Linked DNA regions of Bombyx mori. The protein of the gene in region 1 purifies or fractionates together with the protein of each later gene. This does not show direct contact. Links are inferred from orthologs where the notes say so. Each region holds a gene or a part of one and is shown on either strand. Other genes may lie near its edges.

What was found. The genes of interacting proteins can lie anywhere in the genome.
Region 2: the proteins of B-cell lymphoma/leukemia 11A (region 1) and metastasis-associated protein MTA3 purify together in Homo sapiens (affinity purification with mass spectrometry; 4 studies listed by BioGRID and IntAct, counting the BioPlex papers as one, with this or other methods). This does not show direct contact. The link is inferred for Bombyx mori from reciprocal best matches to the Homo sapiens genes BCL11A and MTA1.

The regions. Positions count from the first base shown.
Region 1 is NC_085124.1:5,004,206-5,007,775, reverse strand, and holds part of B-cell lymphoma/leukemia 11A, read left to right. Parts: coding exon 1-172; intron 173-1,039; coding exon 1,040-1,243; intron 1,244-2,289; coding exon 2,290-2,475; intron 2,476-3,570. UniProt on the Homo sapiens protein: Transcription factor. Associated with the BAF SWI/SNF chromatin remodeling complex. Binds to the 5'-TGACCA-3' sequence motif in regulatory regions of target genes, including a distal promoter of the HBG1 hemoglobin subunit gamma-1 gene.
Region 2 is NC_085131.1:3,800,649-3,804,659, forward strand, and holds the start of metastasis-associated protein MTA3, read left to right. Parts: upstream 1-1,211; 5' UTR 1,212-1,612; coding exon 1,613-1,640; intron 1,641-4,011. Other genes in the region: protein transport protein Sec23A, read right to left, coding at 1-227, 322-600. UniProt on the Homo sapiens protein: Transcriptional coregulator which can act as both a transcriptional corepressor and coactivator. Acts as a component of the histone deacetylase NuRD complex which participates in the remodeling of chromatin.

The DNA of each region.
Region 1 (3,570 bases):
GCGGACAGCGCGGCAGAGGGCGGTGGATCTCCAACGCCCGGAGTTCCAGCAGATACCCTGACCTGTGGGGCCTGCAGGAGAGCGTTTGCGCTGGCTGACATAATCAGGTTCATCCAGCACAAAGTCTCGTCCTGCGATAAAGAGCTCACGTCTTATCACTGCTATAGCGCTGGTAAGTATAATAAGTATCAATAGGGTATCCACTAATATTTTTGAGTTTTGAGATATAATCCTTTACATAAATCTGAGATATCAAACATTCCTTGTTGTGGATAAATGAAATTATACTAGTTAAATAAGAATTTTACACTAGTAACTTCACTCTATACCCATATATTAGAAAGATTCACAATTTACCTACTACCGGTCGTCGATGATCCTCTACCAGAACACTGTCCACGGTGATAACCATACTCGATCCGGTGGACCGAATGGTATACAGTCGACGTCGCTCTAAGCACGCCATTACGGATCATCCCGATCCATTAACGGTGCTTTTAGGTACCACAAGCACCGGTCACCGTCCTCGTCGAACCCGTCGCTTGCGACGACGGGCTCGACGAGTAAATTAACCCATAGACACAACCCACTGAGTTTGTCGCCGGATCTTCTCAGTGGGTCGCGTTTCCGATCCGGCGGTAGATTCTGCGAAGCACTGCTCTTGCTAGGGCCAGTGTTAGTTGGCAACACTCCCGGTTTGAGCCCCGTGAGCTCACCTACAAGAAGAAGAAGCTCAAGAAGAAGCTGAAATAGCCTCTCAAGGCTATCAGAAATTTCAGGAAAAAAAGTGATAACTTTTTTTTTATTGCCCTTGTAGGCAGACGAGCATACGGCCCACCTGATGGTGAGTGGTTACCGTCGCCCATGGACTTCAGCAATGCCAGGGGCAGAGCCAAGTCGCTGCCTACAACTAAACAAAAATTAAAAACAATAAGATAAGCATGGAAATACATAGCCAGATAAATATTCCTCAATATTATTATACTTTTCATTAATAACAATAGAAGATACGATCAAAATCAAATCGTTTATTTAACAGGTCCGAATTCAGACCAGGAAGACGGGTCCAGGCCAGGTCAGGTTTCAACAGCGAACTCTAGCGGTCGAAGACCCTCGCTTCTGACCGCAAGGCGACTTCCGAACAGCAGGATCCACACACCGCCTTTGGCTAGTCCATCAATAGCACCGCCTGACCTTTTAGAAGATGGAGGCGCTTCGAGCACTCCAAAAAGACTTCTCGATGGTATGCAAAAATACTACGATTCACATACTAATAAGGACAACATTTTTTTTAAATTAACAATTGTTAGTACAGTAAAAGCTTCTTAATCGTGCTTCCTTCATTCGCGTTTTCAATAGTCGCGGATTAAAAAAATTCGACTCAATTCTTATATTCGCGGCTAGAGATTTATTTATTCGCGGATTTAATCTATTGTACATCGATACATACAAATTGATTTAAACAATTCCAATATGTAGGTATCCAACAGACTATCTAACCGATTCTGTATTCGCGGCATATTTACGGAACATATGTATACCCCGCTAATAAAGAGCTTTTACTATATTAGGGCGTAACCGGTATACGTTTTACACCAAAATATTTTGCGTTCCAACTAGGACGGACATTGTACTACAACCTTATGCCTCAATGTGGACAAAAGCATTCATTTTGAACTCTGAATGGCCAGAGACCTAACTAAACAATACCAAGGTAACTAAAATCAGGAAAACTGGGAATCAGTCTGTCTACGTCATCATTAATACGTCATCGTCATCGTCAATACCCATATGATAATTGTCTAATCTGATAATTTTAATTTGAACATTAAACAATATTAATAAGTATACCACAATAATGAAATTACCTTCTTAAATCCGTTCATAGAGTAATTAAATGTAAATGAGTAAGAAAATATACACATACATTTGATGAGGTTGCCAATTTAATAAATGCAATTTTGACAAGAAGATAAACTATAATAGTTCTAATCTATATCTATACTAATATGTAAATCTACAGTGGTTTTACGGATATTCCGTTATAATTACTGAACCATGCATCCTATTGGCTTGAAACTTGGTATCCATGCAGAAAATACATGTACTTAATGCATAGGCTAATATTTATATGAGTGCTGGGCTTCCTACTCCAGTTGCGGGTGCGTTCATGAAATAATAATGTTAATTTTAAATGCCCAGCAAAGCGGACGGGTACAGCTTAATTCTAAATCTAATTCTTAGTTTAATTCTAAAGGTGAACCAAAATAATCATGATTTCTTATTCAGAAGCCGAAACTGAAACCTCAACACCCAAACGGCGGGCCTCAACATCACCGTTACCTTCAAGTTCGCCTGATGAAGATATCAAGCCTAAGATCAAGCAAGAGCGTATGGATACATCGGGATCTCCTGAAGACCAGAAAAAGTCGAGAACCGAGGTTGCCGACGCTGAATCAAATACCATGCATAGTGGTGAGTACAAAAATTTCAAATATGATGTATTCAATTCGGTAAAACATTTAGTTTGCGATTAATTTAATAAAACCCCGTTCTTGTTTCTATAAATTTTTGACTATTTAGCTTGTTCTCCCATCAAACAAAACATTATAGACACGCTAAGCAAAACGTATATTGGATTGCCAGGCTAACGGAAGAAACACGTGCGTTTGACAAATTCCTTTTATACGTAAGTTCCACGTCATCGCCTTTTCACGGTACGATATTTAATATTTTTATTAATGATACTGGGCACTGGTTGACATCAAAGGATTTGGCTTGCGACGACATTTTTATCTTTGCTCCATCCTTTGTACTCGATGCAAGATGTTGCACAACATCATTGTTGGACGTTCGGTAATGCTTACGTCATCGTAGATCCATACATTCCGTACACACACGCTGGGCGTAATCTCCAAACCCGATACATTATAACAAAGGAACGCAAACGAAATATATTAGACACGGTCTGAAAGCCACATTGAAAGGGGCAATGTTAAAAATACACCCAAATGAAAAGCTGGCGCTGAACCCGACTAAAAATAGCGAGATTTTTTCCTTAAAAATTCAAAACACTTCAATTCACTAATCCTTAAACCGTCTGATAAAAAGAATCCTCCGTAACATCTGTATAAGCGAGCAATCTTGCGGGGGTCGGTCCGGGGAATAATCTATCCGAGAGAGCTAACCCTTTGTGCGAGCAGATGCGGTGTCATTCGACACTTTTGTAATAAACCGTTGCACAACAAAGCTTTTCTTAAACCCGAAATTTGTGCATCGGTGTATTTTCAACCCGCATTTTGTTCGCTTCGTGCCGCTGTAAAGCTGTTTTAGCAGCGAAACCTTCGTAACCAAACAGTTGCGGCTCACTTTAATTATTTCGAAGCTGCATTTATACCTCATACTAAAGTATTAAGAGTCAAAATTTCTCAAACTTTATACGTTTACATTAATTAGGTTACCGTAATTAAGAACTAAGACTATGCCTTTTTTCGTCCTAATATATAATCGGCTCGTCATGTAAATACAATTGCGCTATTGCATGTCAATAACAGGTTTTCCCTTGACACC
Region 2 (4,011 bases), on another chromosome or scaffold:
AATGTTATTAGTCCAACGAGTGCATTTTGAGGCATTAAACTAAGTGAAGTCTGCAAGGAATCTTTGAGTGCCCCAAGTTCTTCCTCATCTAAACAAGTATCAACAACAAGCAGGTAGATTGGGGGCATAGCCTGTGCTCGCGTTATTGTGTACTCTATGGTGGAAAAGTTAGGAATCAGTTCTGCAGGTTGATGCTGTTCTGATATAGCAGCATATTGAGGTGGAAACTGAAATTAAAATATATTGATTACTCTATAAGTACTTTAAAAGAAAAAAACATTAGACTAATTGAGTTAGTGGCGAATTTCTTCAAGTACTCACTGGGTTTCGTTGGAAGCAAAAGTTGCAGACCCATAATTTAGCTCTGTAATCCACCTGGCACATTGGGTTCAATATAGCTCTGCATGTATTTCGTGTACAGAGTACAGGCTCGTACTGTATCGGTGGTAGGTCGGGGCGCTCCTTAAGCGGTTGGTACAAGCAAGCCAAAGGCACAACAAGCCTCGTAGCCTCAATTCTACTTGATGGCCATACGTTCCAAGTGAACCGTATGCCATCGCGGTCTTCATTCTGCTGGATGAACTCCTCGTATGTGGCCATATCGCCGATCTATACGAAAAAGATACATTACAAAAACATCATAAATGCACACAGACTCTGGTAACTTTAGAAGCACTATTAACCAAATGTACGTACCAAAAAGTCATGCGGCGAACCAGTTATAAACACATGAGCAAATTTCTTAAATCACAATATGTCTTCATTCAAAAATCCCATAAATTTCTCAATTTTTTAGAAACCAAGCAGACTGGAGAGGCTGGCTGATTTGGCAGTTGTCAACACCATAGACAAATCAGCTGTCATACTGGCCACGTCACATTTTTACACGCCATCCATCACAACATATAAAAATAATTTAAAATTTTACTATCAAACGAACCACAAATTAATAAATCTTTAAATATATAAATAACATTTTTAAATAAAAATACTTTTAAGGGAGAAAAAAAATAAAAATTTTTGGTTTTCTTTATGGTTCTCTGACGTTCCTTTCCACATTCCAAATTCGAATTAAAATTAATTTTAGATATAAAACACAATTTATTATATTCAGTCTTCAATATACAAATAAATATTATGTTAAAATTTATTTAATTAAAGAAACTTTCTTACTTCTTGTTGAAAAAAAAATTACAGTAAATATTTAATATAATTAAAATCTTGTCAACACTGTTCCCGTTAAAAGAACGAAACGTGGTTGAATGAATTATTTTTTTTATTTTAGGACATCGTAAAATAAATTTTCAATGGACGATATTATTTTCAAACAATACTTTTTATAATTCAAAATAATAATCATTTGGATTTTATTTGTGGACACAAAATTAATGACATGTCATTGCTTTGTTTCAAAAGCAGGAAGTTTACGCCAAAAAGTGCGACTGCGCACTGGCCAAATTAGTAGTGTGAAAGAAAATGGCGATCAGCGAAAGGCGTCCGGAGTTAACGTGATGAAAAACATTGTTAAAAGCTCAATTACATAGTGTTATAGTTATTAATTGTGTCAGATGTAGATTAATTAAGTGTTAATGAATAGTGATTGTGTATAAAAATGGCTGCGAATATGTACAGAGTCGGCGGTGAGTAGCAATAATTGGTTATTTTTGTTGTAGCTTCGCCGGTTCACCGCCAGCCGACTAGCGGTGCTTTGCTTTGATTGTCGTACTTTCATTAATTGCTTATATTAATTAATCCAAACATATTAAACACCCAAAAAATGCCGGTTTTTATGTATCCGTGGAGGTTATCGTGTTTATAACCGTTTGATAAAGTTTGCGGAAAAGTTATATTTTACCAAAATTCGTCAAATCAAATAGGACATTAGCATTTACGTCTAGGTATCATTGTATCGGCTCGTGTATCTGCGTGCGGGCGGTTAGGCATGAAGCGTCTTTAGTTACCTAACTGAGATGATAGTTTTTTAGAATAGTTTGATGATTTTGACGTGAGATTTTAGGTTATATTCGATGTTGTCAAAACATTTTGATACGAGAGCTGGTTGTTTTTGGGTTATTTGGTATATCTTGGAAGAGTTTAGGGATGATAAGAAAGTAAACAGTAAAAGTGTGGCGTCGCTAGTCATTATAAATTATTGGTTTGTTTGTGTATGGACGGTGGTAGTCGAGGATGTCGGTTGCTGTAGGATATTGATGCCGCGAGTCGCGAGAACAACACGAGCGCCTCATGTACCGCACTCGGCGTCCGTCGCGTCGAATGTTAATTAGCCCTTCCTTTTGTATCACTTCCTATCATGTAATGTAATGCTTCTGTTAAGGTTATGTCTTTGTTTCAAAATTAGCTAATTCTTAGTAAAATAATTTTGTTAGAACCGAGATGGAATGTATTTTATTTAATAATTTCATTAAATGGGTAAATAAATATTACTCTGTGATCAACTATAAATTAGGGATTATTAAAGTTTTTAATTTTAAAATTAAATCTTGACCCGTAGTTTTACACTAACCTTAGGTCAATATAGTAAATCTTAAAATGAAATATTTTTTTCCCTCCAAAACATAAAATTAACAATTTCATTCTAATTACCTATACAACAATTATAAAATATGTTCTAAAGCCAATAAAATTTTACTTTGCTATTAAATCAAGTTAAATTGTCAGTTCAATGAATTAATGTTAATCTTTTGTTAATCTTTTAAACCTGAAAGAGCTATACACTATTTTTTATTACTCTAAAACTACTGCCAAACTGTTCTCATTATAAAAATAATAAAAACATTTTGAAAATGCTGTCAAACACAATTTTTTGCAATCAACACTAATAACATAAACAAACATGCATTTCTTTATTCTATCAAGGCCACCACAAATACTTCAGATGTACTGAAAGCAGTAGGTATGCTCCAATAAACAAAGTTTAATATTGCAAATGCAAAGGATTCAAAATTAAAAGGTATTTTATTAATCCAATGATTGATATAGACCATGATCACAGTGATTATTAAATCTATTCTGGCATAAAAGTTTAAAGGGTTTGTCAGCTGTCATTCAGTGACCCTGCAATTAATGAATTAAAACATTTCAGGGTATCTAGGAAAAGAATTATAACAATACATTGCATTCTTTCAGTTTAAATTAATAGTATTGTGTTAGCGTAGTGTTATTTTAAGTATATTTGTTTGTAATAGAATATTTTGATCTACAACAAAACGTCTCTGCTCTACTCTAGTTTGTTATTGTATCTATTTATAAATTTCTACATATTGCAATTTTAATGCAAACATGCAGATATCTAATATACATCTGCATAATACACAATATAAATTTAATTTAGGTGCTGAGTAAAGAAAATACACTAAAAACACACTGACGCAGTACAATAAGAAACCATAATAATATGATATACACATACAGATATAAATAAATTCAAAATCACTAGGATGATTATTAAAATTTCAATAATGAAAATGGAAAATAGTAGTTTTTTTCAAGTGTTTTTTTATTCAATAAAAGTATAAAATTGTCTTTATCAGTGACCTTCAGCTTTTGAAAATTGATTGAGCTCAATGACCTATGCTTAGTTTTGTCCAACTAAAATACTATTTTTTGTTATATAAGCCAACATAGTATTTTTATGCATATATAAATTTCAAAATATTTAATTCCTTTTTTACGGGAATATTACGTATTTATATAAATTAACACTAAAAGTATTTCATAAAAAAGCATTAATAAAATAAGTTAATTATCCATTTTCAAAGTGCCCATAAATATATTTAATCATACATTATTCTTCTTCTATTTTTCCTGCTTATGTCGCTAATACCTACACTAATAATATCAGTGTTATACACCTATATAATGTAATAGAATTACTGAAGTTCATTTTAAACATAATAAAAATATAACAGTTATCAAGAAAGGAACTTAAATAAAATTAAAATGTGGTGTGTGTGAAAATATGTAATTTAAAACAAATGACCTTATACTATT